Linked DNA regions of Medicago truncatula. Each later gene encodes a partner of the first gene's protein in a complex. Links are inferred from orthologs where the notes say so. Each region holds a gene or a part of one and is shown in the gene's direction. Other genes may lie near its edges.

Region 1 (10,693 bases):
TTATTTTTTATTTTTTTTAAAAAAATTGATTTATTTTTTTTTTCAAATTTTTAAAAATTTGAAAAAAAAACTGAAAATAAATAAAAAAATCATAAAAAAAATTCCAATTTTTTTTTTTTGAAATGTGAAAAAAATAATTGGAAATTAGTGTTTTTAAAATCTACAAATAAATTTTTGAAAAATAAAATTAAAAATTATATAATCTCAAAATTTATAACTTTTGAAAATATAATTTAATTTTCAGAATTAAAAAAAAAAATGAATTTTCGTCAATTTAATTTTTAGTTTTTTTTTTGTTTTTTAAATTTATTTTCAGATTTTTTTAATTTAAAAAAAATGAATTTTCAGAATTTTGAAGAATTTTTTTTTTAATTTTCAGTTTTTTTTATGATTTTTATATTTATTTTCGGATTTTTTAATTTAAAAAATGAATTTTTAGAATTTTGAAAAAAAAAAATTTTTAATTATGTGGCATGACACGTCAGCGCCACGTGGCAAAAGTTGCACAGTCAGCAACTGCCACGTGGCCAAAAATGTTGCCACATCACCAGCGAAGTGGGGCCAGGGACCTTTTTAAAACAAAAAAAATTTTACAGGGATGTAATTAAAATTTTTTTTTTTACAGGGACGAAAATCAAAATTCGTCCAAATTACAGGGACGGTTTGCATATTTAAGCCAATAACCTATTATTATGCTCATTCCAAACTACCCAGATACAAAGGAGCCAAATTAATTGCATAAAAGATCAACGCTCCCTCAGACCACCACAATAGTTAGTAAACTGGACAAAATGATTATAAATACTATGATGGGCTACATCGAAAACACCTATCCAAGATCGAACCTGCTGCCAAAGAGAACTAGATATATCACACTGAAGAAACATATGCTGAGCTGTTTCGACCTGTCCACATCCCGCCAAACAAGATGTGCTTGCACCTGTGATAATGTCGCGGCCAAGAAGGTTGTTTTTTGTCGGCAACATGTCACGAAGTAAACACCACGCCAAGATATATAAAAATTGATTTATTTATGTTGAATTAATTAATAAATGTAAGTAATAAAATAAAAGAAAAAGAATAAACTAAAAACATGCAATCTGTCTCGACACCCCCAGCACAGACAGACAGACACTGAGCTGAGGTGACTTTACTTTACCACATTTCTATGCAACTTTGCATAGAAATTTCTGAAATTCAACTACAGTAAACTCCGTCCTCTCTCAATTCTCCATCTTCTCTACAGATTCTTCAAATGAACTCTGTATATCAATGAAGGAAGCTCTTCCACTTTCATCTTCACTCCTCAACCGACCACTAACACTGTGTATGTTCAAATCATGTTCTTTTTTCTGGCTTTTCATTTTGTTCATTTTTTTTGCTTTTTTACCTATCTGGGTCTTTTTGTCTACCTTCAAAATCTTAGCTTTTTGTTTTTTTTAATGTTAAACTGAAAAACCATAAATACAACAAGGATATGCCTTTTTGTGGTTTGTTGACCTTGATTTGTTCATGAGAGTAAACAAAATTGTTTTTTTTTTTTTTTTTGTGTGTGTGTGTGTGTGGATGAAATATTCTGAACTTGAGCCTCGTTGTTTTGCAATGTTTTTAACATGCTTGAAACTTAGTTTAGCTTGTTTAATTATATTTCTCATGGTAAATTGATTAATTTAATCACTTTCCATGTGCTTGAATATGACAATTAAATTGTATAAAATTAGGTTCTGTTCCCAATTCCATTGAGGGAATTATTCTTTATTTATTTTATCTATTTATTTTGTTCATTACTTGAACTGTATTGTTTTCTTAAAAGGATGTGTTAATTGCTTAACTTGATAAAAGAACGTTTTTTCTTAAATTGAGTGGGGAACATCATAATTATGCTCTACTTGGAGTGTATTTTTGTTGTTGTTGATGCAATGAGTTGCTCCTGAACCATTTTTTTTTTTTTGCATGCTTCTATTATTATTACTTCTTTAAAACAACCTTTATTTATAAATTAGTATAAGTTTATGTGTTGAATTTATCTCATGAGGTTCCCCTTTTTTTATAGTAACATGTTTCTTTTGTACTAAAATAATTTATAGTTCTTTTGCCATAAATTGATGTTATTTCTCACTGTCATGAGTTTTGAATTAAACTAAAGACTATATGTGCTAAATTGATGTTTTTTTGGGTTCAAAATAGAACATTGCTTTAGGTTAATCAAAAGATGGAGCGCCCAAGACTTAACTCGAGGGTTCGGTGCTCTGGTTCAACTCCCTCAGAAGAATCTGCTTTGGATCTTGAAAGGAATTGCTATGGTCATTCTAATCTACCTTCACTTAGTCCACCGACGCTACAACCTTTTGCTTCAGCTGGACAGCATGGTGAAAGCAATGCTGCTTACTTCTCATGGCCTAGCCGTTTGCCTGATGCTGCCGAAGAGAGAGCAAACTACTTTTTAAATCTACAAAAGGGGGTCCTACCTGAAACCCTTGGTCGTCTGCCGAAGGGGCAGCAGGCAACCACATTACTTGAGCTCATGACAATCAGAGCATTTCACAGCAAGATACTGCGTTGTTACAGCCTTGGAACAGCGATTGGTTTTCGTATTCGGAGAGGTGTATTGACAGATATTCCCGCCATTCTGGTGTTTGTTTCCAGGAAAGTTCACAAGCAATGGCTCAGCCCAATCCAGTGTCTTCCTACTGCCCTTGAGGTTCAGCTTTAACCTATATATATAGATATTTGTTGTGATCTCTAGTGTCTGCTGCTGCAGTTAAAATAGATGTTTAATTTGTGAATCAGGGGCCTGGTGGAGTATGGTGTGATGTAGATGTGGTGGAATTCTCATATTTTGGTGCACCTGAACCAGTTCCGAAAGAACAACACTATACAGAGATTGTGGATGACTTGCGTGGAGGTGATCCGTGCATTGGTTCAGGATCTCAGGTGTTTTTTTGCTCTCTTATTTAATGTTTCCTATGGAAACAAATCATCTGGTTTACAAAAGAATTTTTTTGATTTGATTAATATCGCATGCATGTGATGATTAAAGAAGCATTTTTAGCCTAATACTTGGCAATCTCTTCCACTAAAAAATCAGAGTGTAATTACTGCACTATTGTCCTTAATTTATATCATATTCATATGCTGTAGTGGTTTGTCCTAGGAAGCTTAGCCATGCCTACACGAGTCTAACGTTGCAGGTTGTGTATGCAAATTCAACAAAACATCTTTTGTCAAGATTCATTTAACTTGACATAACTAATAAGTGCATGGACTTGACCTTCTACGATAGACTCGTGGAGATATAGCTATTAGATTCATAATTTCTTTAAATTTTAGACCTTAGATTTCAAGCTTCATCGTGTTACATGCAGTATCTAGTGCTTCAATGAACCTGTTTTTATATCTTTACATGTTTTTAATTCTCATATGGTACCTGTAGACGGATGTCTATGCTACTAAACAATGGTTTTAGTATTTTAATTGGAACTAAACCTTAAATCTGGTTTCCAATGCCTTTTCTTTGGCAATCTCATTATGCGAATGTCATTGGCCAGACATTTCGGGATATTTTCTTTCAGCCTAATCTCTACCAGTTTATATTTCAAAATTTTCTGTCCTGAATAAACAACGAAAAATTTAGGGAGGCCAGAAATATAGATCTTGTGGTTTTATCGGGCTTGTCAAAAGAAGTCATTTGAGATATTTAAAGAGTGAAATTACAGGGTTTGCAAAATCTCTTGCGATTGCCAGCTTGCAGAGTTAATAGCAATATTTCTCATTCTCATTTTTCTGTTCTATTTGGTGAATATGTTCCACCTCTGACCACTTACTTCCTTGGTCTAGGTGGCAAGCCAGGAGACATACGGAACTTTGGGTGCCATTGTGAGGAGCCAAACAGGTAGCCGACAAGTTGGTTTTCTCACAAATCGTCATGTAGCAGTCGATTTAGATTATCCAAATCAAAAGATGTTTCATCCTCTTCCACCCACATTGGGACCCGGGGTTTATCTTGGGGCAGTAGAGAGAGCAACTTCATTTATAACTGATGAGCTCTGGTATGGAATATTTGCCGGAATAAACCCAGGTAACATAATTTCAAAAGTCTGATTGATTTAATCTGATTACTTGCATTATTTTCGCTACACATACTCATCACATATCATGATGTGTTTCCCCTCCAGAGACGTTCGTGAGAGCCGACGGAGCATTCATTCCTTTTGCTGATGACTTTGACATGTGCACTGTTACTACCTCAGTGAGAGGCGTTGGAGATATCGGTGATGTGAAAATTATTGACCTACAGTCTCCAATTAGTACCCTTATTGGAAAACAAGTAGTTAAGGTTGGAAGAAGTTCTGGCTTGACAACAGGAATTGTTTTGGCGTATGCCCTAGAGTACAATGATGAGAAGGGTATATGCTTTCTAACAGATTTTCTTGTTGTTGGTGAAAACCAACAAACTTTTGACCTTGAAGGAGATAGTGGAAGTCTCATAATGTTTAAAGGTGACAACGGTGAGAAGCCACGACCAATTGGGATCATATGGGGAGGGACTGCTAATAGGGGCCGCCTTAAGTTAAAAATTGGGCTACCTCCGGAGAATTGGACTAGTGGGGTTGATCTAGGACGTCTTCTTAATCTACTTGAACTTGATTTGATTACAAGTGATGAAGGACTTAGAGGTTTGTCTATCTTTCACTATCACTATCACTATCACCATCATCATCATCGTTATTTCAATTTATAATTCTCAAATACGGGGTTAGAACTTATATTAGGTTGTTGTTCTCATATATGAAATTGTGTTGATGCCTATAGGGCATAGGGTGGGTAATTGAATGAATTAATCTGATGATATGATTTGGTAGGGTAATAGTGTGTTTAGCTATGCATTGATCAGCTGTATTCTTAAATGTTTCAAAAACCAGATTGAACTGTCCAGTTCAAACGGGAACCGACAAGTTCGCTGGTTGGTTTGATCCCGGTTTTACCACAGTCTGGTTGAACCATAGTCAAACACAGTTTGATTCAACCACACACATTTTAAATTTATATTTTATTCATCATTTGGTTCAACCGTGATCTCTGGTTCGATTTTTAAAGCATTGTTTTCTTGTTAAAAACCAACTAGCATATAATCATTTTTTTTTTTAATTTACTATATTCCTATGTTTCTGTCTCCTAATAGTGAAGATAGCATTGAAAATGTTGAAAACAATTTTCTATCAACTGATCAGGATTATCTTAATGAAGTGAAACTAGAGGTTAAATTCTAAAATCAATATCTTTTTGTGTAGTGGCGGTGCAAGAACAAAGGACTGCATCGGCTACATTTATGGGCTCTATTGTTGGTGATTCCTCAACTCCTGATGGTATGCATCAGAAAGATAGAGTGGAAGACAAATTTGAGCCTCTTGGTCTTCAAATCCAGTCTATTCCCTTAGGAGTTGAACCTAACAGCCAGGAAATGAAACCATCAACCATGGAGGCTGAATTTAAATTAGAAGACGGAATCAAGGTAGGTGGTCCCAGTATTGAACATCAGTTCATTCCGAGTTTCATCGGGCGGTCACCGTTGCACAAACACACTGTGCATGACAAAGCTGCAGCAGCAGAGAATTTATCTTCATTGAGGAATGACTGTAATGAAGATTTATGTGTTTCGTTGCAGCTGGGTGATAATGAAGCAAAGAGAAGACGTTCTGAGGCATCTACTAGTACCGAGGAACCTTGATTAAACAAATTATTAGCTTAAGCTTGAAAAACTGACTTGTTATAACAGTTAATCACCCTGGAATGCGTTGTTTATGACCATTGGGAATTTGGGATACTGTATTTGTATGATTTAGCAGCTTTGACAGAGGCTAATGACAATGATATCAGTGGAACTCACAATATGAAGTTTTAAGTGAATTGTGGACAGAGGGCCATTCAAATCTTACTATGGTTTAATTTATGTTGTAAAGTTACTTTTCTCATTAACGTGTGCAGACTTTGCCAAGAATGTGATGGCTTAGAACTGACCTAAAATGTTTTTAGGCTTAAGGAAAGAATATGAATGCAAAAAGCAACCTCAAAAGTAGTCCTTTGTATTGAGCAAAAAAGGATTTGGCCTTCTAAATCATTCTTTCCGCCATTTTTTTTTAAACTTGGTATTTGGGTCTAAGGATATGCTAATTTGAAGGATAAACGTCGTAATGACTAACGAAACAATAAATGTTGACATCTAAAGTATTCAAACTTGAAACTCTTACATAAACACACTCGCATAATTATGAAAAAACATTCGTCCAAATTTATTCATTCAAATGAAAAATAATTATGATGTTATTCAATTTTTTTTTCTTTTGAAGTTAAATTAGCCCGCTAAATTAACACCGGAGATAATCCACTCTCATGTTTTTAAGTTAATACCACCAGCCTAACCCGAATGGAAAGGGGTGTAATTTTCAAGAAATAAGTGGAACTAAAAAGTAAGTCTCAAATTTTTATTTTAATTAATAAACTTGCTTGGTTATGATGATGGTTCCATGAATGAAATTAACCCATGAAACTCGGGTAAACCCGACCCATTCAAACTTCATCCTGACCCATAAAAAATGGGTAAAAATAAAATAAAATAAAACTAAAATCTGTATCGTTCATTCATTTTCTTTCTTTCTTTCTTCTTACCTCGATTCACTCCACACAAATCCAACACTTCACTACCAGCTAGGGTTTATAGAGGGTTTCACGCTCTCTCTCTTCAACAATGGCGAAACCTGGTCGAGCTCGTCGCTCACCACCATCAGGTTCCGTCTCCGGATCTTCTTCTCTCTCCTCCTCTTCCCGTTCCTCTTCTCGCTCCCGCTCCCGTTCCAGATCCTTCTCTTCCTCTTCTCGCTCTCCCTCCCGCAGTTCCAAGAGCCGTAGCCGTAGTCCTCCTCCTCCAAGACGCAAAAGGTACATCCATCCTTCGATTCAACTTTAATTCTTGCCAAATCGTTCAAATTTTGAACCATTAGAAAAATCGAAGTCAATTTGATTTTTTGCGTAGAAGAACATGCATGAAAATGTTCAAGATGAAAACAATTATGATTTTCAGATGTTAATTTGAGAATGTCATATTTTTCAGTTTTTAATTTTCAATTTTGAGTTCGGTTTAGGTTTTCAAATAGGAGAAGTTGGAAATGGAAATCTGCCCAGTTTTAAATTTTAGTCCAAATTATTGTTTTGATGAATATGATTTTGATCACTGTAATGTAAATGTGGTTAATTGGTGTACACTGTACATTATATTTTGAACTGTACGCACAAATCACGGTTCTTTTGGTTAAATATTTCGTGGGAGTAATTTCCATGTTGTTGATTTTAGTAAAGTTTATATTTTTCAGTTCATATTGATAGGGTAGTATTTTTGTTGTGTAGTTCTGCTGAACCAGCTAGGCGAGGTCGATCTCCTCCTCTTCCTCCACCTCCACAGTCTAAGAGACCTTCTCCTCCTCCAAGGTAAACTCATTTCAAATTTGCTATTTCAATCCAACTTTTTTCTAGGACACTTCTTGTATTTGTGTATGTCCCTCGTGGAGATGGAGACTGGGAGTTTTTATTACTAATCATATTTTTCATATGCCATATCTTGACGTTGGAGATATGAAATTATTCTTTCATTTTTGCTTTTTATATACTATATCTTAACTCTTGTTGAAGTTTAGCATGGTATGTCTTGTTAGGTAATAAGATACAAACTAGTAGTGGAAAACCGCAGTAGCCAATTTATATTGTCAACTGTTAACAGTCTACTATATATTGAGGTCATCACCGACTAAAGTGATATATGTAAGATGGCCAGGGATATGGATTATATACAAGGTTGTCAAAGTTGAGATTCTGCATAGGATTGGAAAAGGGGTAAAAGATTGTAAAACGTGAGATCACGAGACAAAGGATTGTAATATAAACATGATAACAAAATTATTTAATTAATAAGTATAGTAATATTTCTTTTAAAACTCAAGTCAGAATTTTGATGTTTATTTTGTAGTTATTGTATTGTTGAAATTTCTAAATTTATTTTATATTTGAATGTAATTATAAAAGAAGGGATATAATGGAACATTATAGCACAATTATAAAAAATCCTAGTCACATGTTAGCAAGAGATATAAGACTTAGATAGATCTTATAAAACTTAGGCAATCCTCATCTTACATGCTTGTTTTATGTCATTAAGTTGAATTTGCCCAAAATTTAAGATGGTATCTTAGATCTGATGTTCGACCACCGACTATATTGGCCACACTCCAAACTCAGTAGTGCTGAGCGAGGATGATGTGTATTAGAAAAACAGCGTCCGCCATTTACTAGAGATAGTGCTTCATAAGATCTTATGAAGTATGGACTCTCCACACTTTATAAATTAGTTTTGTGGGGTTGAGTTAGTGTTGGGTGGTAAAGAACCAGCACGAGAGTAAAATAAGTGTAGCGGAGATGAGAATGTTTCATTCAGAGAGAGAGAGAGAGAGAGAGGGAGGGAGGGAGGGAGGGAGGGAGGGAGGGAGAGGGGGAGGGAGAGGGAGGGAGAGAGAGAGGTGTAGCGGAGATGAGAATGTTTCATTGAATGTGTGGTATGAGTGGACATGATAGAATTAGAAATGACAATATGAGAGAGAGAGAGAGAGAGAGAGAGAGAGAGAGAGAGAGAGAGTAAAATAAGTGTAGCGGAGATGAGAATGTTTCATTGAATGTGTGGTATGAGTGGACATGATATATGTAGCGGACCCAATTTTCAAAATACTGAATATACATTGGTTAAGTTTGTTTTTATAATTTTCAGTGCGGACTTTTTTCATCATATCTTTAAGATGTGGTAAATTTGTTAGAATATTTTTTTATTTTTCATCTCACATTTTTAAATTTAATTAAACATGCTGTGATTGTGAGCCTTCTAAGTTCAACAATTGACAAGTTTTCTTTCGATTTGTAACTTCTATCTTTTGCTATGTTTACTTATCATGCTTCATCTCAGGAAACCTTCTCCTGTACGTGAGTCTCTTGTTCTCCACGTTGAGAAACTCAGCAGGAATGTCAATGAAGGCCATTTGAAAGAAATTTTCAGTAAGTTAAACTCTTTCACTTCTGCTTTCGTCTTCAACTGTGAATCGAGATACATTTTTCATTTGAAACCAGTGTCTCATGGTATTAGGATCCAAAATTTAAGCCCAATGCAATTTTTCTGTTTCTTTTATTTTAGTTTTGATCTTTTTGTCATTTATACTTCAATATAAGTATTCATATTATTAACTGGGAGCATAGTTGCTTCATATCTATGCATACACTCTTGAAATACCAATAATCGAGAGAAACTTTTTAGTAGCCTCTAGTAGCTTGTGTGTGTAATTGGAAGGGAACTTTTAGTGACCTTTATATCTTAAGGAGCTCATATCCTCTTTTGCTGACCTGTTTTCAGGTAATTTTGGCGAGGTTGTAAGTGTGGAGTTGGTGATGGATAGAGCTGTAAGTTTGCATTTAATTTGGCATCATAGTTCTAGAAGAATTTAGAGTCGTAGGTTTTTAAATTTCTTTTAAAAAACTTTCCAGGTTAATCTTCCAAAAGGATATGGATATGTGCATTTCAAGACAAGAGGGGAAGCTGAAAAAGCATTATTGTACATGGATGGTGTAGGTTGCTTTTGCCCGAGTTGGATTAATTTCCACAATCAAGCTTGTTGGCTGCCGCATTTGGAAATTGATGCCTTTGTTTTTTTTGTTATGCAGGCCCAAATAGATGGCAATGTTGTTAAGGCAAGATTTACTCTACCTCCAAGACAGAAAGCTTCACCACCCCCAAAAGCTGTTGCTCCAAAGAGAGATGCACCCAGGACTGATAATGCTGGTGCAGAAGTTGAAAAAGATGGGCCAAAGCGTCCAAGAGAATGTATATGCTTGATATTTGTTGAACATTTTTTTGTTTTATATTTATCATATTGGTGGTTTTTATATTGGTATTGAACTAATTATTCATGGTACCAGCTTCTCCTCGGAGAAAACCTCCTCCCTCACCACGAAGAAGATCTCCTGTGCCTCGAAGAGCTGGATCTCCAAGACGACCAGAATCTCCTCGCCGCCGTGCAGATTCTCCTGTTCGTCGTCGATTAGACTCTCCTTATCGTCGCGGAGCTGGAGACACACCTCCTAGGAGGAGACCTGTGTCTCCCGGAAGAGGTCGTTCTCCATCTCCACCACCAAGGCGCCTTAGATCCCCTGCAAGGTTGGCTTGTGATTGCATGCATGTTTTTCATATACAATTTCATTATACAGCCGACTCAATTAATTTTCATTTTTGTAGGGTATCACCTCGAAGGATGCGTGGAAGCCCAGGCCCAGGTCGGAGACGTTCTCCTCCTCCACCTCCAAGACGCCGGTAACCATATTTTGAGTGCTTATTTTCCTCGTTTATTGTTTTTCAATTTGCATTTTAACATGCCATTGATTGCTCATTGGAAAAATAAATGTTTTTTTTATAGTTCACCTCCTAGACGAGCCCGTAGTCCTCCTAGAAGATCTCCAGTTGGTCGTAGGCGTAGTCGCTCTCCAATACGTAGATCTGCACGCTCACGCTCAAGATCATTCTCACCTCGCAGGTAATTTTGTCTCATGCAATATCTCAGTTCTCTAAAATGATTTATTTTTTTTTAGCATAATAATATTTTGATAGAAG
Region 2 (10,932 bases), on another chromosome or scaffold:
AGATTAAATGCATCCACTAATATTAAAAAGAGAAAATTTAAAGTGAGGGTAAAAAGGTCCTATATTAGGGAGTATTATGGTTTTTTTTAAAAGGACGGATTCCAAATCAAAAATTTCCTAGGGGTAAACCAGAAATGACCTATTATATCGGGGAAAAAAACTATTAACTCTTTTGATAATATAATTGACATTCTCTTTGCTCTTTGATGTTGCTTTAAATTGTGTGGTGCATGTCATCGTAAGCTTAACTCAGTTGGTAGGGACAATGCATAAAATATGCAAGGTTCGGGGTTAAAACCCCGACCACCAAAAAAAAATTGTGTGGTGCATATAAAAAGTATTGTCAGATATATTATTTTTATGGTCAAGAATTATTGCCAAATTTTATTTTGTAAAAATTTTAATTTGTAAAATAAAAATGAAAAAAATTGCCTATAGCAACAGATAATATGGACCTTTTCCAACTGATAATATGGTCCTATACCAAGGGATAAAGCTATTAAATAGGTGTAACAGTCGTTGTTATAACATCAGAATTTTCTCCAACGCCATACAATTTCCGTTGGTATATATAACCTATTGAGTCGGGTATTTTGCTGTTATTCGGTACGAAGTGCCCGTTGCTATAGGGTTTTACTACCTATACCAACGGTTTTTGCTTATATGATGAATTTCTTGTAATGACAAAACTCTTTATTTTTCCAAACTCAATATATATATAGTTAGATTAGTACTTCTCTCACAAATGACATGTCACATGTGATACAATCAAATAGTAATCACCAATCAAATTGGATACACAATTTATTTAAAAAAAATAAAAATCAATTCCAATCTATGAAGCACAAATACTCTTTAATTTAGATGTGTTCAGATGTCGGACACGTGTGTCCAACACCGACACGACACCTATAATTAATAAATTATTTTATTTTTTAAAATTATTATCGGTATTAGCATGTCGGTATCTTATTATGTCCTATGTCATGTCTGTGTTTCATAGGTACCAATGTATTGTCGTTGAACCAGACTAAAACCTGAATCTGCCACAAACTCAATGATCCAATTTATCAAGAACAGTTCCAAATGGCCAATGACCACACACCTTTTAGAACTATAACATTTTCCCTTGCTATCGAGTTCCCAAAAGACCTTGCTCATCGGTCCAAAATCCAACACTATGGACTCTTATATGGGATTCACGTCAGATTGAATCATAACCCTCTGATATGGGATTTACGTCAAAAATATCACAATCACGTTAGTGTTTAGGATTTATAGTCCATTACACGTCATCTATAAAAGACACTCATCACTCTAGTAAGAGATACATGTTTTTTATTCAGTTAAACTCAACTTGAGTGTTTGAGTGCTTGCAGGTGAGCAGCCACCATGCATCCTCAGCGGCATCCAAGTAACTTTGGTAGTTGTTTTTAAGAAATTGGAGGCCTAACTCATCTTAAAAATTGGTTCATAAAGTGAGGATTGCCTCCGTCCAGCAACACTCTTTGAGCTTGGTGCGTGAATCGGTAGGTGGCCCTTGAATTCGACAGGCTCTAATACCATAATAGAAATTGTGGTTGGGCCTAACACAACCCCACAAAACCGGCTTGTGTGGTGAGGATTGCCCCCACTTATAGACAAATTATCAGGCCAACTTCTAACCGATGTGGGACTCTCGACAAAGTCCACTCTTGATCCTAAAGAAATGAAACAAAAGACTTAAATTATGAATGATATCAATAAGCATCCCAAAGTTGGACATGTCACTAGGAGGTTGATTCAAAGCACAAACTAAATTAGGGGGCTCCCTCAATCACAATAATGCAGAAACACAAGTCAAAAGAAAACTAAAGAATTGAACGAAAATCCTTAGCCTTTATTACATCAAAATCAAAACCATTACCGTCTTGAAAAGTACTGTTTTATGCGGCTATGCCCTACGTCTGATTTTGTTTGGCATGTAATAAAACGTTTACTTTTGGCCACATAATTAGAGCGATTTATGTCAGTGGATTCTTCTCATGAAACGGCAACAACAACGGTAGGTCAATTAAAAGTTTACGTAACATGTACAAAATAAAAACGTTAACGTGACATGAAGTTTTGACAATCATCTAATTATGGGGTGAATATCTAGACATTGGCAGAAAGTGCTCTACTTGTGAGAGAATTCAAGTGTTTCATTTTCTTCTTCTCCAAATCGCAATAATAAAAATAAAGCAATTATTGAGCAACATGGAAATGAATACATCTTCTAGGATCAACACATTGGCAGAAAGTGCTCTACTTATTTATTTATTTTGAAAAGAAGAAAAAAAATGATATTTATTCATTTCAATAAATAGAGTATATCACGATGGAAATGATGAATCTGTGAACAAACTCGCAATGTTCAAATTAATAACATATAACACCAATTAAAAGTGACTGGAATACCCATATATATCAATCTGCAATGTTGACACTCAAATAATTGATTAAATCGCCGATATTTCAATAAGAACATAATGAACACTGAACAACACAACGCTGCACTCAAACGACCAAATCACAAAGAAAATGAATCTAGATCTTTGTGGAAATAACTTATTTCGGTTGAAATTGAGAGAAAATGATGAAGAGTGGTGATTTCGGGTCACAAATTAACTCAAAATCACCCCTTCCATGCAAGAAATAGAAGAGAAAACCTAAATTGAGAAAGTTATGGCCGACTTATTAGTTTTCTACGTATTTGTTGATTTTGTTTTGAAAAGTAGACACGTCTTACGACGAAGAGGTTTACAAAATGACGAAAATACAAAATTTGTTTAGATATAATTCATGAGAAAGTACACACTTGTCGCGGGTGGCTCTGAAGGTGAGCAAGAGGGACGACGGCCTATGACACCATTTTTCTAGGGGCACTAATTATATTAAAATATATTAGTTCGTACAATATAAAAATATATTTTGTTTTAACTCACTTTGATTAATTATATTGAAATATATTATTAGAGAACATTGATTATAAACGAGTCCTTTGCAACAAAAAATTTAATAAGAAAAACATTCAAATAATTAAAAGGGCACAACTTGATTTATTCACCCGGGGCATAAAAAATCTTATACCGGTCATGAAGATTGTTCATACTTATATGGAGTATGGCCCCGTTGAATTTTAAAAAATAAAAAAAAATCACTTTTTTCATTTTTAAATGTTTGTTTAGGATTTTTAGAAAAATAATTCTATTTTGACCCTAAAATGAAAATTTATTAGGATTAACTTTTTTCAAAATTTATTATTTTTCAAAAACAAGGAGGTAAGACATGTACAAGTTAAAACTCTTTTTTTTTTTAAATGAATTTTTATGGATAGTAGGCAAACAAAAATAACTTAAAGATTTTTTTTAAAATTTCTAAAAAAATACCTAAATTCTTTTAACATAAAATCTATTTTTTTAAAGCTGAAACAAACATACGCTATATAATGACTTTGTTGAAATTCAAAACTCAATGTTATAAACAAATGAATGTGATTTTGTGGTTTTCTTTTCAGTGACTTATATATATTAGCTTTTCGTGTTCATATTGAAAATTAATAGCATTAAGTTGTTATTTGTTAACATAAGGTCTTTACCTTTTAGATTTGTGAAATGCTACTTCAAACAAAAAACAATTCACGAATGTATCACGAAAGGAACATGGTTACTGTAGCATACTTTCATTTTTAATTCGAGAGCGGCATTACTATTTGGATAATTACTCAAAGCATGTTTCTTTAGTTTCTTTTAGCACCTGCATTACTATTTGGTTCTTAAACAAAGAACGAACGATCTATATTTTAATATGCATTTTATTTTTTAAAATAATAAAAAAAATATTAAATTAAGAATCTGAACCGTTTGATCTCAATCTACAATTAGATTATCTTGAATGTGTCAAACCACATTACTCCACGTGCATATTTTGTTTGGACAGAACTACATGTATATGTTACCATCTGATATGGCATCTATTTGGTTTCCTAATAATGTTTTTGAACAAAAAGTTCACTTTTTAAAGTTCACGTGAAATGAGATTTCATGTTTGACTCACGACAGATAGAAATAAAGACATGATCACCGATACAATCCCATTTATAATCATCTCATATCTGGTCCACTGATAATTGGACAATTCATTTCATTCATTAAAATCGGGATACCAAATCAACTCTTTTCTTTTTGTTTTAACTCTCCAAGTTCTAAAGGAAGGAGTTATAATCCTAAATTCAGTTAAGAAGTAGGTAAGCTCCGACAAAATTTTGTTCTTGCAAGGGTTTAGACTCAGACTCTTTCAAACAATTCATCATTAACAGAAGATCATTAACCACTTGATGTCGATCATTTTGTTGATCTCAAAAAAATTCCACAAATGAATTTTCAACAGAGGGTCTAGATTCACACTAGAAATAAATAGTCAGACAATCCCTTCACAACTAGTGATCTTACTAGGCATACTAAGTTAATGTTATTGAAGACTTAAGAAAAGCAATTATCTTCCATCTTCTTTTGTTAAAGTCAACATTAACAACGTTAAACAGAGAAACGCCTCTAGTTTCTCTAAGTTTCATGAGAACGTGAATAATAACTTTTTTTTTTAATCGGTAAAATTTAATAAAATTGAAATTCTCGCAAGACGTAAAGAGACGGCAGGAAAAACAATACAAAGATGCCGCATATAGGCGTTATAGATCTACCCGACAAACACTAATTCACCGCAACCGAAAAGAAAACGGCGAACAAGCACAAAAGTTTATCGAATTAACACATACCTTTCTCAAATTGAGCAACTGCCACCTAAACCAAGCAAGCTTGTCGAAATTTATAATGCTTATGCATAGATTGTTCTATGATTTTATAATTAAGTAGATTAAAACAAAGATGCAATGAAAATAATAATAATGGCAAATTAAAAAAACCAAGGGCACATTTTGAAGAAACAAAATCCATGTCCCTTCTTTAATTTTGGCTATTTTGCATGTTAGTTCATGAACGCATACAATTCCAACCTTATAAATGAATCTCTCCAAAGACAAAACAAGCTTGGTGGATCGCACGCTCTATTGCGGCCTGTGGATACCATATGACACATGCTCACTCAAAGTCTAAATATTCATATCAAAAGGATCACTCAAGAAGGACGTCTGTCTGCAGAAGTATGATACGTTCGCAAATGCACGAATTTATCATCGTGATAAAAATATCAATCCACATAGACTTGTGATCAAGTTTATTTTTCTCCTTAATGTTTAGCTAGATTTGTTTTGATTGTTGAGAGTTTTATATTTGATTTGATTTAGAAAATATGTAATTTATAAAAGATTTGCTTTGGAATATTGGAGTTCATAACTATAAAGAACAATTCCAAATCCAATCCTTTCTAGTGTTGTAAGAAATCATTACTTAAGGATGAGGTAACTCTAAATTATCATTTGCTCTCCTTCAAGATACAAATGGTGTGTCCTACCATCATAGCTTCGTATTCTTATGGTAGTTATATTGGTAAGACTCATTGTGCCCCATTATCTATTTCATATCTATTGCTTTTACTTTGTAGTGATTATAAAATCCTGCATCATTATATAGTTATTTTAGAAGACGATATGGTTTTCAAGACTAAATCTAGTTCCGGTTGAAGCAATTTTGATGTTTAAACCACTTCAAAGCACAAAGAGATCATGCTTTAAATTTGCCTTGAACAATGAGCACAATAAATGTACTATTTATAATGTTTCTCAGTTACCATCAAATTGACCTCTATTTTTCGATTTATTACTCTATCCAAATAAAAACATTTAAAAGTGAAGACAATGCCATCGAATGATTTGAATTACATAGAATTTTAATTTCTCTAATACTCCCTCCGTATCAAATTGTATGACGTTTTGGGCATTTCACACATATTAAGAAATGCAATTAATAGTGTGGAAAAAAGATATTATGAGTTGTTTTACAAAATTATCCTTAATAAATAATATGGGAAAGATAAATGAAAGAATTGAAAGAAGAGAGAGTAATAAATAATTAAGGTTATAATAGGAAAAGTAACATTAATGTTGCATTGATATTGTAAAGCGACATATAATTTGGGATAAATTTTTTCCCTAAAACGACATACAATTTGGGACGGAGGGAGTATATTCAATTACCTCGTCCAAACTAAGGGTGTATAAAACCTGTCTCGCTCCAAATGCAAGTGACCGAGTTTGACCAGGTAAAAAAATGGACACAAATAAGGGACATTACAATGACAAAACTTAAATAGAGACCGTTTTTTAAATATTATTTTTAAAACTCTCACATTCCACTATATTCTTTAACACACAGACTCACAATTTATAATTTGACTTAATTACAGTTTTAGTCCCCCTTATTTTTACTCACTCATGAGATTTGTCCTCCCATTTTAAAATCATTCAGTTTAGATCTCTTTTACATAGTTTTGAACTTATAGTGGTCATTCTTATTGTCACATCATATGACACGTAATTCAAACTATGTCAATTCACCATCACAATTTTTTTAGTCTAAAAATAGAATAAAGTGACTAAAATCGAGTGATTTTAAAATTGGGGGATTAATTTTGCGAATAACTAAAAATAGTGGGATCAAAACTAATTAAGCCTTAAAATTTTTTGTGATGGTTTTGTGTTCTTGAAGTTGATGTTAAAAATTTGATATCTATAAATATATTATATCATATTCGAGACACTTTGGTGTTGTATTTTAAATATCTAGCCCAAAAGTGAAGAAAGTAAGAAGGGGGTTTAAAAGCAAATTATTAGAATACCCAACTAAAACTAATAAGCCCAAAACGCCATCGTTTGAAGCATTAGAAATTCTAGGGACTTAACACGCTCACTCACGATCATAGAGAATTCTGTACAATTCTTTCACTTGCAGGTGATCTCTGATTTCCCAAACTGTAAAATTTCGTACATTTTCTTCTCAAATTTTTCGTTTTTTTTTTGGGTGATGATTAGTAACTTTTTCGTTTTCACAATAATAATTTTGTACAGGTTTTGAGAGAATGGCTAGGGTTTATATTGGGAATTTGGACCCTCGAGTCACTGAGAGGGAACTTGAAGATGAATTTCGTGTGTATGGTGTTCTTCGCAGGTAATTTCTTCTTCACTCTCATTCAACAAAGAAAATTTATTTGAATTGATAGAAATATTTTCAGTTTAGGAATGATTACATTGAAATTGTGGTTAATGATTGAGTTATCAGTTAATTATTTACGTCAAGTTGATAATTATTTGTAAATTTGTTTTTTTTATTTTTTTTATTTTTATTTTTTTATAGTTATTTATTTATTTATCAATAATTAGTTCGTTATTGTCTGCATGAACATTTTTATGGGAGAAACTAATTAAGTGAGAGTAAAGAGAATGGATAATTGAAGTAAATTCAAAGAAGGCATAATAACGGTTCATTGGTTAAGATTTTGTCTAGGATAGATGGCGCCACGGGTTTGATCCTACTGCAACAGTAGATATTTTCTTATTTAGTTATTTTAATTAATGTTCTTTTTTCCAAAAAATGTGAGGAATGTGAACTCCCAAAATGAAAATGGCAGGTTCGATCCTGCGATCATTCGGCTGAAGAAAGAGTACTTTACCGCTGCTACACCATTAATTATGTTCTAATAGGAGAACACTAAAATATGTTGTAGATAAAAAATATATACAAATTATTTGGAGGTCTAGATTTATAGGCTAAATATTAATGCAAATTAGAGGCCTAAAGCCATTGCTTTAGTTGCTTTATGGTAAGGCCAGCGTTGTGATTAACAATATTGATATAGGTTTTGTTCATGAACTTAGTTTTCATTTTGTTTGTGTTACACATTTTTCATAATTTGTTCCATTATTATTGATTTAAAGTCTTAAATTTTAATTATTGTTTTTTGCAATACAGTGTCTGGGTGGCTCGCAGACCACCAGGATATGCATTTATCGAGTTTGATGATCGGAGGGACGCCCTTGATGCAATTCATGAATTGGATGGTAAGTTTCCTATTTGTCAATTTGTCATCATTGTTGAGTGTATGTTGTTGGTGATTAGCATTTGTCTTTCTTCTTTTTATGCATCATATTGAGATTTGGGGTTATCATAATGTATGAATGTCGTATAGGAAAAAATGGCTGGCGTGTAGAGCTTTCTCATAATTCTAAGAGTGGAGGAGGAGGAGGCCGTGGTGGTGGGCGTGGTGGACGCGGAGGGGATGACCTCAAATGCTATGAATGTGGTGAACCTGGACACTTTGCTCGGGAGTGCCGTTCACGCGGTGGTTCACGAGGCCTAGGAAATGGAAGGAGACGAAGTCCTAGTCCTTATTATCGGCGCCGTGGAAGTCCAAATTATGGTTATGATCGCAGGTATGTTATGTGCACACGCTTTATATGAATCCAAAAAATTCTGCATTTCAATAGCAACTTTTTCAATTAGCAAGCTTTTAGCTTTTTATTTTGTTAGAGTTTGGATTGGACGTCATTGTTAAGGAATGCAAATATCTTTGATACATTGATTGCAAAACTGTACTTTTACGCACTGATATGGGAACAGGAATTTGTTTAGAAAATGTTAACACAATCCATAACCTGCTTGAAGTTGGTGAAATAATCAACGGCGTGCATCATATCTTTTTTATTTTTATATTTTTCATATCTTTCGCCTCTATTCGAATGAAATTCAATATCTTTGCTGAGGTGCTTGCTTGTGATTGTTCTGCAAATTATGTTGGGGACAACACTTTTTCGGTTCTCATTTTTAGCGTTGTCAAATGTTGGCCATGCCGGATTGCGGTAGTGTATTTTTTGACAAACGCCCGGGGAAGATTGTGAAGGATGGTGGCGTTTTATGGCGGATATGGCAGATTTTTAGCTTTCCGACATGATCATCCATCCCCAACTTATAACACTTCTCATTTTATGTACTTCATAGTTTGCCTTTTATTCCTTGTTAATTTGGTAGATTTGTTGACTTCTTTATTGCAAGCTCTATTTAATTGTCAATTTGTATCACCATTTCACATCATTTATTTAATTGAAATTTCTCTCTGCTTGGGAAAATTTAACTGCAATGATTTATAACATTCTTAGCCTGTCCTCTCACTCAGCCTGGAAAGGATATTCATAAATCATTAACTAAAATAAATTCAACTTAACCACTGAGTGGCTGGAAAAGATCTCAATGTCAAATTGACAACATTCATAATATTTGAAATTCCTCATTTCCACTGTACAATTTGTAAGTGCATTATAATAAGCATCTCAAACATGTCATTTTGTAGCAACCATTCTTTTATTGATATATTCATCTTCTCATGTTTTGTTTTCATTTGGGTTCGCTTCATTTTATCAGGAGTTATAGCCCGCGTGGGAGAAGATCTCCAAGACGACGTAGCATAACACCTCCTCGTGGTCGTAGCTACAGCAGATCCCCTCCTCCATACCGTTATTCTCGCCGTGATTCACCTTATGCCAACGGGTACGATTGATTATGTTCAACTCAGTTTCTCTGATGATGTGATTTGAGTTAATGAATGGCATGAGAATTGAGAACTTATTACCCATATTTTAAATCTTCCCTTTTCTTTTTTCCAGAGATTAAGATCTGATTGTGAACAGAGCAAATGATGAATAATTGTTGTGGAGCCCTCTCTGCTATAGTCTAGTTTCTCTAGGATTGGGTGAGCATACAACATACATGTTAATTATGTTATGTCATGACAATGGAATGGGTATTACTATGAACTTGGATTGCTAAGTGTTGTAGCCGCAAAAGGGTGCCTTGGACACTGTTTTGCGTCGGTTGTCTCTCTTCAGCTTACTAAAACCTGAAGGTCGCTCCAGTCTTCCCTACTTTATATATATATATTGTGGTGATTTTTTGTTTTTTAGTCTTGCTAATCCACTATGGTGTTTTTTGATATATTGTCATTAATAAGGATCCTAAAATGTTGATGTTTGTCTGTTTTGAAGTGTGGGTATCGGCCAAAACAGCATTGTTTCACCACTTAGTACATCTTGTCTGCTTTTGTGCTGCATGCCTCCACAAACCTCTCATCTTGTTGCTTCTGCATATAAGTTGACTAAAACTGCAATATCAGGAAGTTGCTTATGACCTTTTTTTGTTGACTCTCGATGAATGCTACAGTTTCATCCTCCTTTTGAATTGGACAAGTTTAAAGATGGATAGATAGAATTTATTGACTTGCTGCACCTCCATGAAATCGAATCAAAATTGGAATTTGATTAGTAACTAACTGCATGTAGTGTCTGCTTCTCGCCATTCTGTGTGGTTAAATTGATGATTGCTGGTTCCAAACGTTTGCATGTTGATTGCAATGTTTCTCCTTGTTACGTCTGTAGTTTCCATGGTATTGGGGCTGCAATGACCGACATCTTGGATTTGTGGAATCAAAAAGGTTGATTCTATTTAACTAAACACGCACACTTGAAATGTCTTGCATTTTTGCTCATCCTCCTTTTGAATTGGTGAAGTTGAATGGTGGATAGATAAAATATAGATACCGACTTGCTGCATCTTCTTGAAATCCAATTGACTGAGATTTGCCAAGTGAATAACTTCACCATTCCGTGTGGTTAAATAGATGGTTGGCGCTTCTATATGTTTTCATGTCAATTAGAATATTCGTCCCTTGTTTTGTCTTTATTCTCCATGGTAAACTCTTGGGACTGCAATGATCGGCATCTTTGTTGTGTGGGATCAGTAAGGTTGGTTCTGTTTAACTAATGCGCACTCGCCTAGCGTCTTGCATCACCGCTCTGACCTTAACTAGTTTCAGCTTCCTTACTGGCCTTCACAAGCTTCTACAGTAGAGTTTTTTAGCTATCACCTTTAGCTACTGGGATCAATGTCACTAGTTGTTTTCCATCTGTGC
Region 3 (10,353 bases), on another chromosome or scaffold:
TAATTAGAACGATTAAAAATTAAACTATGTACAATAGCTTTGAAATTCTATTGGTAAAGAAAACAAGATATAATAAGGTGATTTATTTATTGCAGTTACAAAAATTAAGGGCAAACAAGTTATACTGATGTTATTTATTTATTTATTTACTTATTTTGAAATCATTTTAAAATAAAAATCATTTTTAAAAAACTATTTTTTCCCATGTTTGTTTCTTAGGACATAAAAATGCACACAACACTAAAATACCGGTGAATTCTGATTAATTTTTAATTGACAACCGACCTCATGAAAACTAAATCTTCATTACGAAGAATAGTTTTTATTTGAAAGCATTACGAAGAATGGTTTTTATTTGAAAGTGATGATTGATCTTAAGAATTGTAGTCATAAGATTTTTCTGATGACTGATCTGAAGATTATTGAACTAGTGCTAGCTGTTGTTGCCGATGTTTTCTGGCCCTTTTCCTATTGCATTCACGATCTCCAACTTTCTATGAAAATGTAACAAGTTTTGTAATTTGTGAAATGTACTGTAACTCAAGTTGAGTTAAGAAATTTATTGATTTATTACTTTTTTGTTTATAATTATTAACAAGGTATACCTATAGAAATACCTGATAGGTCGATTGTTGAGATAATTCGTTTGTTGAAAGTGCACCGTTTGTTAGAGGATAAGATGATATCCCCAACTAGTCAAACTATCTCAATACATTTTGGGAGAGAATTTCATGAAGATATACTGACATCTGCAGTTGAGATTGGGGCAATTGTTGAAGAGATTCAGTTCCAACAATTTTCTCATGAGCATCGATGGTTTTGTAGTTGACCATCTATAACTTGAGGTTGAATTTTTAAAAAATGAAAATTATACTGTGTGGTCACGGAAACATGATCGGAACTTTATTGTTTTGAACATAAAAAAACCATAAAAGAAAATGTTTTACCATTATGTAAATGATTATTTTACTGATGCTTATTGCATTTTCTGAGTTCCATTGTATAATTTTCAAGTAGACAAAAATGATTTAGTTGTCATTATTTTGTATTACTGATGCTTATTGCAGAAGGAATCACCATTGGGTTTGAAAACATAGTTAACTCTCATAGGTAAATTTAGGATGATAAAGTGTTAAATCTTTAGTTTTATGTTTTTGGTTACATGCCCATTTTTATTTCTCTTGCGTTTTGATATGTGATTTCAACATGATTTTTTCAAAGCTGCAAATGTTAGCTTTTGAATAGACATGTGTATATTGCTTTGTCCCATTAAGCTAATAAGTTAGAAGTTAGAACTGCACAAATTGTGAGGTTTCCATGTTTCTCTATCAGTTTACTAGTTTTGGTATTTTTGAGCTTCTGCATTTTCCTGTGAGAAGGATCAAGTAATTGATAGTGAAAAAAACCGACAACGCCTTATTACAATGCAGATATGACAAAGTTCAGAAAACAAATAATGTTAAGTCAATAATTTGATAGCCGTGAGCACTAGAAACATCAAGCAACACTTCTTATACATATATAGCTGAATCAAATCAAATCAAAGAGAATAATATTGACAATTCTTGATAAGAAGTGTGGTGTGTTGTTATTGACAAACGAGAATGAACGTCCTAGTTTTGGAGCACTGTTGGGGACTTTTGAGTGTTTGAGATTCACATTTACACAGTGCAACTTAATACAAACTAATTTTATTCATTAATTATTTAATATTTTTGTATGTAGTATGTACTTTAGCATTACACAAGTTTATTTTTTGAATTAGAGATAAAAAAAATTATAAAAATAGTTCATTACTCATTAATGTTACATGTAGATTGTATTACAAATGTTGTGATTGTTTCACATTTATGTTTTATGAACAACTATAGATCAAGATTTTGATCTCCTACATCCGTCTCGTTTGAGTTATGTACACTTCTTAAAAAAATAGTTATGTTGCTTATAATGGTAAATAATATGTTAAGAGTAAAATTTCCTTTATACCTAATTCTCCTCATTTGCAACCGGTCATTATTGTTTAGTATTTTTTATTTCTCGTATGTTGTAGTATATAAATGCTTAGATTGCAACATTTGTTTTGTTATAGTATACTTAACATTATTTGTTAAGGTGTATGAATAGTTGGAGCACCTTAGTTCTTAAAAAAAATATTTTGTACTTTAAAGAAATCCCAACACAAGTATCTAAACATGAGATTAAAGTTTTTCGTATCCCACCATAATTGTTCTATATATAAGCACCAATGCAAAACAAAATATGTTTACTATAAATGAACACAACACTAAAATACCGGTGAATTATGATTAATTTTTGATTGACAACCGAACTCATGAAAACTAAATCTTCATTACGAAGAATAGTTTTTATTTGAAAGCATTACGAATAATGGTTTTTATTTGAAAGTGATGACTGATCTTAAGAATAGTAGTCATAAGATTTTTCTGATGACTGATCTGAAGATTATTGAACTAGTGCTAGCTGTTGTTGCCGATGTTTTCTTGTCCTTTTTCTATTGCATTCACGATCTCCCACTTTCTATGGAAATGTAACAAGTTTTGTAATTTGTGAAATGTACTGTAACTCGAGTTGAGTTAAGAAATTTATTGATTTGTTACTTTTTTGTTTATAATTATTATTAACAAGGTATACCTATAGAAATACCTGATAGGTCGATTGTTGAGATAATTTGTTTGTTGAAAGTGCTCCGTTTGTTAGAGGATAAGATGATATCCCCAACTAGTCAAACCATCTCAATACATTTTGCGAGAGAATTTCATGAAGATATATTGACATTTGCAGTTGAGATTGAGGCAATTGTTGAAGAGATTCAGTTCCAACAATTTTCTCATGAGCATCGATGGTTTTGTAGTTGACCATCTATAACTTGAGGTTGAATTTTTTAAAAATGAAAATTATATTGTGTGCTCACAGAAACATGATCGGAACTTTATTTTTTTGAACATAAAGAAAACCATAAAAGAAAATGTTTTACCATTATGTAAATGATTATTTTACTAAGTAGACAAAAATGATTTAGTTGTCATTATTTATATTACTTGTATTACTGATGCTTATTGCAGAATGAATCACCATTGGGTTTGAAAACATAGTTAACTCTCCTAGGTAAATTTAGGATGATAAAGTGTTAAATCTTTAGTTTTATATTTTTAGTTACATGCCCATTTTTATTTCTCTTGCGTTTTGATATGTGATTTCAACATGATTTTTTCAAAGCTGCAAATGTTAGCTTTTGAATAGACATGTGTATATTGCTTTATCCCATTAAGCTAATAAGTTAGAAGTTAGAACTGCACAAATTGTGAGGTTTCCATGTTTCTCTATCAGTTTACTAGTTTTGGTATTTTTGAGCTTGTGCATTTTCCTGTGAGAGAGATCAAGTAATTGATAGTGAAAAAAATTGACAACGCCTTATTACAATACAGATATGACAAAGTTCAGAAAACAAATAATGTCAAGTCAATAATTTGATAGCCGTGAGCACTAGAAACATGAAGCAACACTTCTTATACATATATAGCTGAATCAAATCAAATCAAAGAGAATAATATTAACAATTCTTGATAAGAAGTGTAGTGTGTTGTTATTGACAAACGAGAATGAACGTGCTAGTTTTGGAGCACTGTTGGGGACTTTTGAGTGTTTGAGATTCACATTTACACAGTGCAACTTAATACAAACTAATTTTATTCATTAATTATTTAATATTTTTGTATGTAGTATGTACTTTAGCATTACACAAGTTTGTTTATTTTTTGAATTAGAGATAAAAAAAAATTATAAAAATAGTTCATTACTCATTAATGTTACATGTAGATTGTATTACAAATGTTGTGATTGTTTCACATTTATGTTTTATGAACAACTATAGATCAAGATTTTGATCTCCTACATCCGTCTCGTTTGAGTTATGTACACTTCTTAAAAAAATAGTTATGTTGCTTATAATGGTAAATAATATGTTAAGAGTAAAATTTCCTTTATACCTAATTCACCTCATTTGCAACCGGTCATTATTGTTTAGTATTTTTTATTTCTCGTATGTTCTAGTATATAAATGCTTAGATTGCAACATTTCTTTTGTTATAGTATACTTAACATTATTTGTTAAGGTGTATGAATAGTTGGAGCACCTTAGTTCTTAAAAAAAATATTTTGTACTTTAAAGAAATCCCAACACAAGTATCTAAACATGAGATTGAAGTTTTTCGTATCCCACCATAATTGTTCTATATATAAGCACCAATGCAAAACAAAATATGTTTACTATAAATGAATTTTAATATAGAGATGCAAAACTCTCCAGTTATGTTATAAAGAACACTCAAAGAAACTTGTAAGAAACCAAAACATATAAGAACCATCTTTGATCTTATGTTTAATTAAGTTTGTTATCATTAAAACATTAACTCATAAGGATTTTTGTGATATTCCTCAACATTTGCATCTTCAATGACAAACACTTCTTTTGTTGTCTCGTCGTTTGATTTCTTGTGAGACTCATTGTCTGTTGTATTGTTACCATAAGCTTTCAGTTTACCATTAAATTATTTATCTTAACTATCAAATTGATTCCAAATATTGTCAACGAATAAATACTAAAAACTAAAAAAACGTGTTTAATTGTTATTTATTACCTTTTGAATGTTTGACATGAAGTTTCATTCATGTTCAGCGTAACCTCCAATTTATTCATGCAAAAGTGTGGAAAACCACTTCAAATTCTCTTTGTTTTCTATATCCACAAATATATGCTATTATAAATGTAAATTTGCATACGAAAGCCTTAAAGAAGTTCCAGTCCTGGTGGTTGAGTGGCAGTTAGGGATTTGGTGGCACAATAATGAGATGAAAGAACTCTTCATTTGAAATTGTGGCTAACAGCAAGAGAAGAAGACACGTTGACCGTTTGCGATAGGGCATGCAATAATGTGTTACCCATGGAAGTAAATACAAACAAAACATAAAATTGTATTAGATAATCAATGGATACTTTACGTGCAATGTGTATGCAAATTTAAAAAGGTCCTAGTTTCTACTTCATTGTCTATTTTCTTTATGGTAAATTTAAATTGTCTATTTTTTTTATGGTAAACTAGCGAAAACAAATAATTTGAATTGGTTTTCAACACTGTTGCCTGACGACCTTTGATGCTACGTTCAACATGGATGAAACTTCATTTCAAATATGCAAAAGGTAATAAATAACCGTTAAACATATTATTTTAATTTTTAGCATTTATTTGCGAGTATCAGAGATCAGTTTGATAGTTAACATGAATACTTTAGAAGTCAATTTGATAGCGAGTGACATAATTCAAGGACGATCTTGATTTTCAATGAATAATTTAGGGATCGATTTGACATTGCAACAATTTGTAATGACTTTTATTTCAATAAGGAAAAAAAAAAGGAATTCACAATTTCAATCAATTTCCTCATCGAATACATGACATTTGAGTTTGCAATTCACGTTAGTGCTTAACGTTATATGTCATCACTGTTAACGGTGAGATTTGACGGAGGCATGACGTTCGCAAAATTTAGGAAAATTTTCGTTATTTCAAATAATTTGAAGACGAAATTGAACGATGTGTGCAAATTCAAGGATGAAAATACCTATTCACTTATAGTAAAGCTTAGGCTTAAACACCCTTTTGATCCTTTATCTTTATTTTGACATTCATATTGGTCCCTTATTTAAAAAATGCGCAAATAGGTCCTTTTCATCCATCAAAGGCCAACAACGTTAATTGCAGTGTACATGACCATGTAAGTTAACATCTCATTCTTCCTACTTTATCAATTCTCCTATAAATCAAAATTAAGGTTCATTGGAACCCATATATGATATATCCCCCTATTCTTCACTCCAAATTAGAGATTGACGTCAATATTCTTTCTGTATGAGCAAAAATGTCAAAATCACGAGATTTATCATCATTATTCCTTTTTGAAATTGTTGAACAATGATATAGAGAATAGATCCAACACAAATTCACATAAATCTCATACTTCAAAACCATGAATTCGCATGAAAAAGACTAACACGATACCCAATTAAACAAATTAAAAGATCTTTCTATATTTTTTTTTTAATAAGAGACCAATATAAACTTCAAAATAAAGGACCAAAAAATATTTAAGCCTAAATCTTTATTAGCCCTTTGTGACTCTTCAAACACCTCCAAAACAGACTTATGTTATGCTTAAAAAGCGTACTTTTCCTCCCCTCACTATAAATACTTCTCAGTAGCAGTCAGGTTCGAGATTCAGCTAGCGCTCGCTCATAGCCGAGACGCAAACCGGATCTAACGATCTCATCAATTCAATTCTCTCGTGATTTCATCGAATCTTCACCATGGAAGATCCTCTTCTGCGCAACCAAAACGCCGCCGTTCAAGCTCGTACCAAAGCTCAGAACCGCGCCAACGTCCTTCAACTCAAACTGGTATAGATTCATACTCTTTCCCTCACTTTTCGTTGTTAATTTGACCTAAGTTTCTTCATAATTAACGAAGTTGTTGTTGATTTTCAATAGTTAGGGTTTATTGTTCGTAACCCTAGATATTAGATTAGTTAATTTTTGTTGATTAATTTGATTTGATTGTAATTGATTTGATGCAGATTGGACAGAGTCATCCAACTGGATTGACTGCGAATTTGTTGAAGCTATTTGAACCTAGGCCGCCGTTGGAGTATAAACCTCCACCGGAGAAACGAAAATGTCCTCCGTTAACAGGTGTTTGATTATTGTTTTTGTTAGGTCTACATGATCATTTGTTGTGAATTGATGTTAATTATAGTTAATTATGCAATTAATCCTTCGTTTTATGTTTTTTTGTTTAGGGATGGCGCAATTTGTGAGCAAATTTGCTGAACCTGGTGAACCGGAATATTCTCCGCCTGTGCCAGTAGTTGAAACTCCTGTAATGTTCTGTTCTTTTGATACTAATCATGCTGGAATTATTAGTTTTAATTGTGTTAAGCATAGTTTCGTAACTGAGTGTTTTTTTTTTTTTTTGTCGGGCATGTCTTTGGTGGGTTGATTTGATGCAATGAGTTTATATTTTTTTTAGTATATTTATTTTTTCATATATCTTTTAAAGTTTATTATGCTTTTTAGAAGATGTCCTTAAGAAAACAGTTAAGTTAACTAATTATTAGTTTGCAAAAAAATATTTGTCCTCAGAAGTGTTTTGTTGCTGCTATATTCTGTAGTTAAGTTTTACTGTGTAATATTGTGCAAGCACAATGTTTAACTGGCTAAATTTGACTCATTGCGCCTGCTTTTTTCTACGGTACTAATTCGTTCTAAGAAAATATCCGAATCAATGTTGTGGTCATGAATAACAAATAGATAGTTTGGGTACTCAACATATTAGTTGAAAAATACAATTACTATTGCATATTCAGTCTTTACCAGGTTCCAGTTTTTCTTCAATTTACTTAAACAAGTGGTTATTATAATGTATAGTTAATGTAGCAATTGGCATATAAAAGCAGTAAAGTAGTTTAAATGCCAAAGCCCTTGTTTCAATAGTGAAGAGTATAATAAAGGCATAATCGCTGATCCATTTTGGTATACTCAGGCAGAAAGAAGGGCAAGAGTGCACAAGTTAAGACTGGAGAAGGGAGCTGCAAAAGCTGCTGAGGAGCTTGAGAAATGTGATGACTCTTATATATACTGTTTTAAATTTGTTGATTTTTGTGGATTATGTTATCTGAATATTTGTTGATTTTTGTGGATTATGTTATCTGAATATTTTTCTATATGTTTCAATGTAGATGATCCACACAACGATCCAAATATATCAGGAGATCCATACAAGACTTTATTCGTGGCCAGACTTGTAAGTTATATTTTCCAATAGAGTAACTACTGTGCTTTTTCATATTGCTTGTCATATCTTATTGATTCCATCTTCCAACAGAGTTATGAGACTACTGAGAGCAGAATCAAAAGGGAGTTTGAGTCATATGGTGCAATCAAACGGGTAGGTATTTTGAATATGTTCAAAAGGGTTCGGTAAGCTTATCATCTATGTGTGGTTCAAAACTTACTCTATTTTACTTCTTTTTGACATCTTTACAACTTTTGAGCCTTCAAACTGTATTATTTTCAAATTCAACAATTTCCATATACAGTGATGTATCGCAGAAAACAAAATACTAGCTATTTGAGCATAATACAATCTTTATACCTTTCCTTTTGCCACTGAAGAAAATGTTTTTTGTGACTTGAGAGGTTTTCATGACTAAATAGCTTATCAGGAAATCAGTCTGCTATGTGTAATATCTATCTCATCCTATCCGAAGTTTCAAGGGTATAGAATACGAACGTTCCTGATTTAATTTGTCAATTTTAGTGGTTTTGAAATGGTAATAATCAATGCTTTTGGTTGCTCCACCAATTTGTTGTTGATTGCTTTTTATTTATTTTCTTTTGTCATTTTCCACTTTGCTCCATTCCAATTGTTAATATAATATGGATGGGATATCTTGGGGCTTTGGGTCTCTAGAAATTTTTAACTGCAAATTTAACATCTTGACACGAGAAATGCTAGAAACACTCTTTCTAACACACTCTCGATCAGAGTCTCCTATTGCGTGAAACTCATGTGGGCCTCACCACTTTATGTCGGACCCATTTCCAAAGTGTGGTACTTACATGAATTTCATCCAATAAGAGAGTGGGTATTAAAGAGTGTTAGAAAGAGTGTTTGTAGCTCCCCCCTTGACACAAACACCTGGTAATGGTTTATCATCTTAATATACGTCCCTGGTAATGGTTGATTATCTCGATCCACATCCCTGGTAATGGTTGATTCTATAACAATAAAACCCAAATTCCATTCAAGTGCTTCCTCCTGCATGGTATTTTAGTTGGTAAGAACAATATGCAAAATTGTGCCTTTGGCCTTGTTTTCGATCAAGTAAAGGAGACTGACAACTTCTGTTCTTTTCCTGCACTGGGTAAAATATGTTGGGTGTATTTCAATCTCTTCCCTTTTTTATTAAATTCTTAGTTAGCCTACATTTGATGTTGCTATAACTTTATTTTTGGCTTTAAAGGCTATCAAAACAAAATCAGCTGTTGAGAAGATGTTATGGTATTTTCTATATTACCCAGAGTTGTTTCCATTTTATCAATTTTAAAAATTAATATCCCTGGTAAGGGGACACTAGTCAACACCTGGTTAATTGGGCCAAATACATCAGTTTTTCTGCAACTATTGCCGGTGGTGATGCATCTCACGATGGGAGCTGTATGATTTAAAGGTGAGCACGGCTAATTAGGCATAGAGCCTGTCTGCCGTGCCATTTAGGATATTAGTGTTGGTATTTTATTGGTTCTGAAGTGAGAATATGAGAGATCATCTTGTGTTATTTTCTTTTGAGCTGATTACCAGAATGTTCTCTTCTGACTATGCTTTTTTTTTTTTCCCTTCCATTTTCTTATGATTTAGGTTCGGCTGGTTACTGATGCTGAGTCAAATAAGCCCAGGGGTTATGCATTCATTGAATACCTGCACACAAGAGACATGAAAGGTTGATAGTGATTTATTAACATATGTCTGATTATTACTATATATACTTATATAACATTTTGCTGAAGTCATATTTATCGTTAATTATGCAGCTGCTTATAAACAAGCTGATGGTAGGAAAATTGAGGGTAGGAGGGTGCTTGTGGATGTTGAACGTGGGAGAACTGTTCCAAATTGGCGACCCCGCCGTCTAGGTGGTGGGCTTGGTACTACTAGAGTGGGGGGCGATGAAGTTAATCAGCGACATTCAGGAAGGTAATTATTATTATTTTTTTTAATAGGATTTTATTCTCAGTTGTATTGACACTTCAAATTGAAGGCGAGTTTGTTGTTCGACACCTACACTGTTTACATTAAATTAAATCATTTTTCTCAAATTTTTACCGGCGTTGATGTGTTTGTGTCGCTGCTTCATAAATTTCTTTTATTACTTATTTTAAACCCGAGGAATTATTACAACTAAATTTGAAAACCGAAAACATTTTTAAATGACCTTGTTCTATGATATGCATATTTGTGTTGTAATTGACTGCGAATTTGAGATGTTTGCAACAATTATTTCCTCACCTGGGTGGACCTGACAATTGTATGGTTCTGGTGTTTGGAATTTAGTTAACATTTATCAAGTTCGCTGTACATGTAAATTTGTCAATATTATGTTCATCTGTTGGAAATATCTGGCTCATACCCGTCTATCTTCTCCAAACCCAACCATCCTACTCCAAATTCTGAAGCAGTAAATTCACATTGAATTTGAAACTTTTTGCATCAAGAATTGTTT

Evidence for each region. The genes of interacting proteins can lie anywhere in the genome.
Region 2: serine/arginine-rich splicing factor SR45 (region 1) and serine/arginine-rich splicing factor RSZ21 share a complex: the UniProt entries of both Arabidopsis thaliana proteins name them as parts of the spliceosome. The link is inferred for Medicago truncatula from reciprocal best matches to the Arabidopsis thaliana genes SR45 and RSZ21.
Region 3: serine/arginine-rich splicing factor SR45 (region 1) and U1 small nuclear ribonucleoprotein 70 kDa share a complex: the UniProt entries of both Arabidopsis thaliana proteins name them as parts of the spliceosome. The link is inferred for Medicago truncatula from reciprocal best matches to the Arabidopsis thaliana genes SR45 and U1-70K.

The regions. Positions count from the first base shown.
Region 1 is NC_053043.1:34,991,940-35,002,632, reverse strand, and holds the start of serine/arginine-rich splicing factor SR45, read left to right. Parts: upstream 1-6,639; 5' UTR 6,640-6,745; coding exon 6,746-6,936; intron 6,937-7,401; coding exon 7,402-7,482; intron 7,483-9,001; coding exon 9,002-9,090; intron 9,091-9,442; coding exon 9,443-9,489; intron 9,490-9,573; coding exon 9,574-9,654; intron 9,655-9,750; coding exon 9,751-9,910; intron 9,911-10,005; coding exon 10,006-10,243; intron 10,244-10,321; coding exon 10,322-10,396; intron 10,397-10,499; coding exon 10,500-10,616; intron 10,617-10,693. Other genes in the region: protein NARROW LEAF 1, read left to right, coding at 2,213-2,701, 2,791-2,934, 3,838-4,078, 4,176-4,676, 5,292-5,728. UniProt on the Arabidopsis thaliana protein: Involved in 5' and 3' splicing site selection of introns, and may bridge the 5' and 3' components of the spliceosome. Isoform 1 is required during flower petal development and isoform 2 is involved in root growth.
Region 2 is NC_053049.1:29,284,515-29,295,446, forward strand, and holds the start of serine/arginine-rich splicing factor RSZ21, read left to right. Parts: upstream 1-6,789; 5' UTR 6,790-6,926; exon of another isoform or gene 6,927-6,948; intron 6,949-7,042; 5' UTR 7,043-7,053; coding exon 7,054-7,142; intron 7,143-7,943; coding exon 7,944-8,032; intron 8,033-8,160; coding exon 8,161-8,404; intron 8,405-9,389; coding exon 9,390-9,515; intron 9,516-9,631; coding exon 9,632-9,638; 3' UTR 9,639-10,932. UniProt on the Arabidopsis thaliana protein: Probably involved in intron recognition and spliceosome assembly.
Region 3 is NC_053049.1:35,602,184-35,612,536, reverse strand, and holds the start of U1 small nuclear ribonucleoprotein 70 kDa, read left to right. Parts: upstream 1-6,210; 5' UTR 6,211-6,382; coding exon 6,383-6,472; intron 6,473-6,648; coding exon 6,649-6,763; intron 6,764-6,870; coding exon 6,871-6,950; intron 6,951-7,613; coding exon 7,614-7,689; intron 7,690-7,809; coding exon 7,810-7,874; intron 7,875-7,955; coding exon 7,956-8,018; intron 8,019-9,491; coding exon 9,492-9,573; intron 9,574-9,664; coding exon 9,665-9,827; intron 9,828-10,353. UniProt on the Arabidopsis thaliana protein: Mediates the splicing of pre-mRNA by binding to the loop I region of U1-snRNA.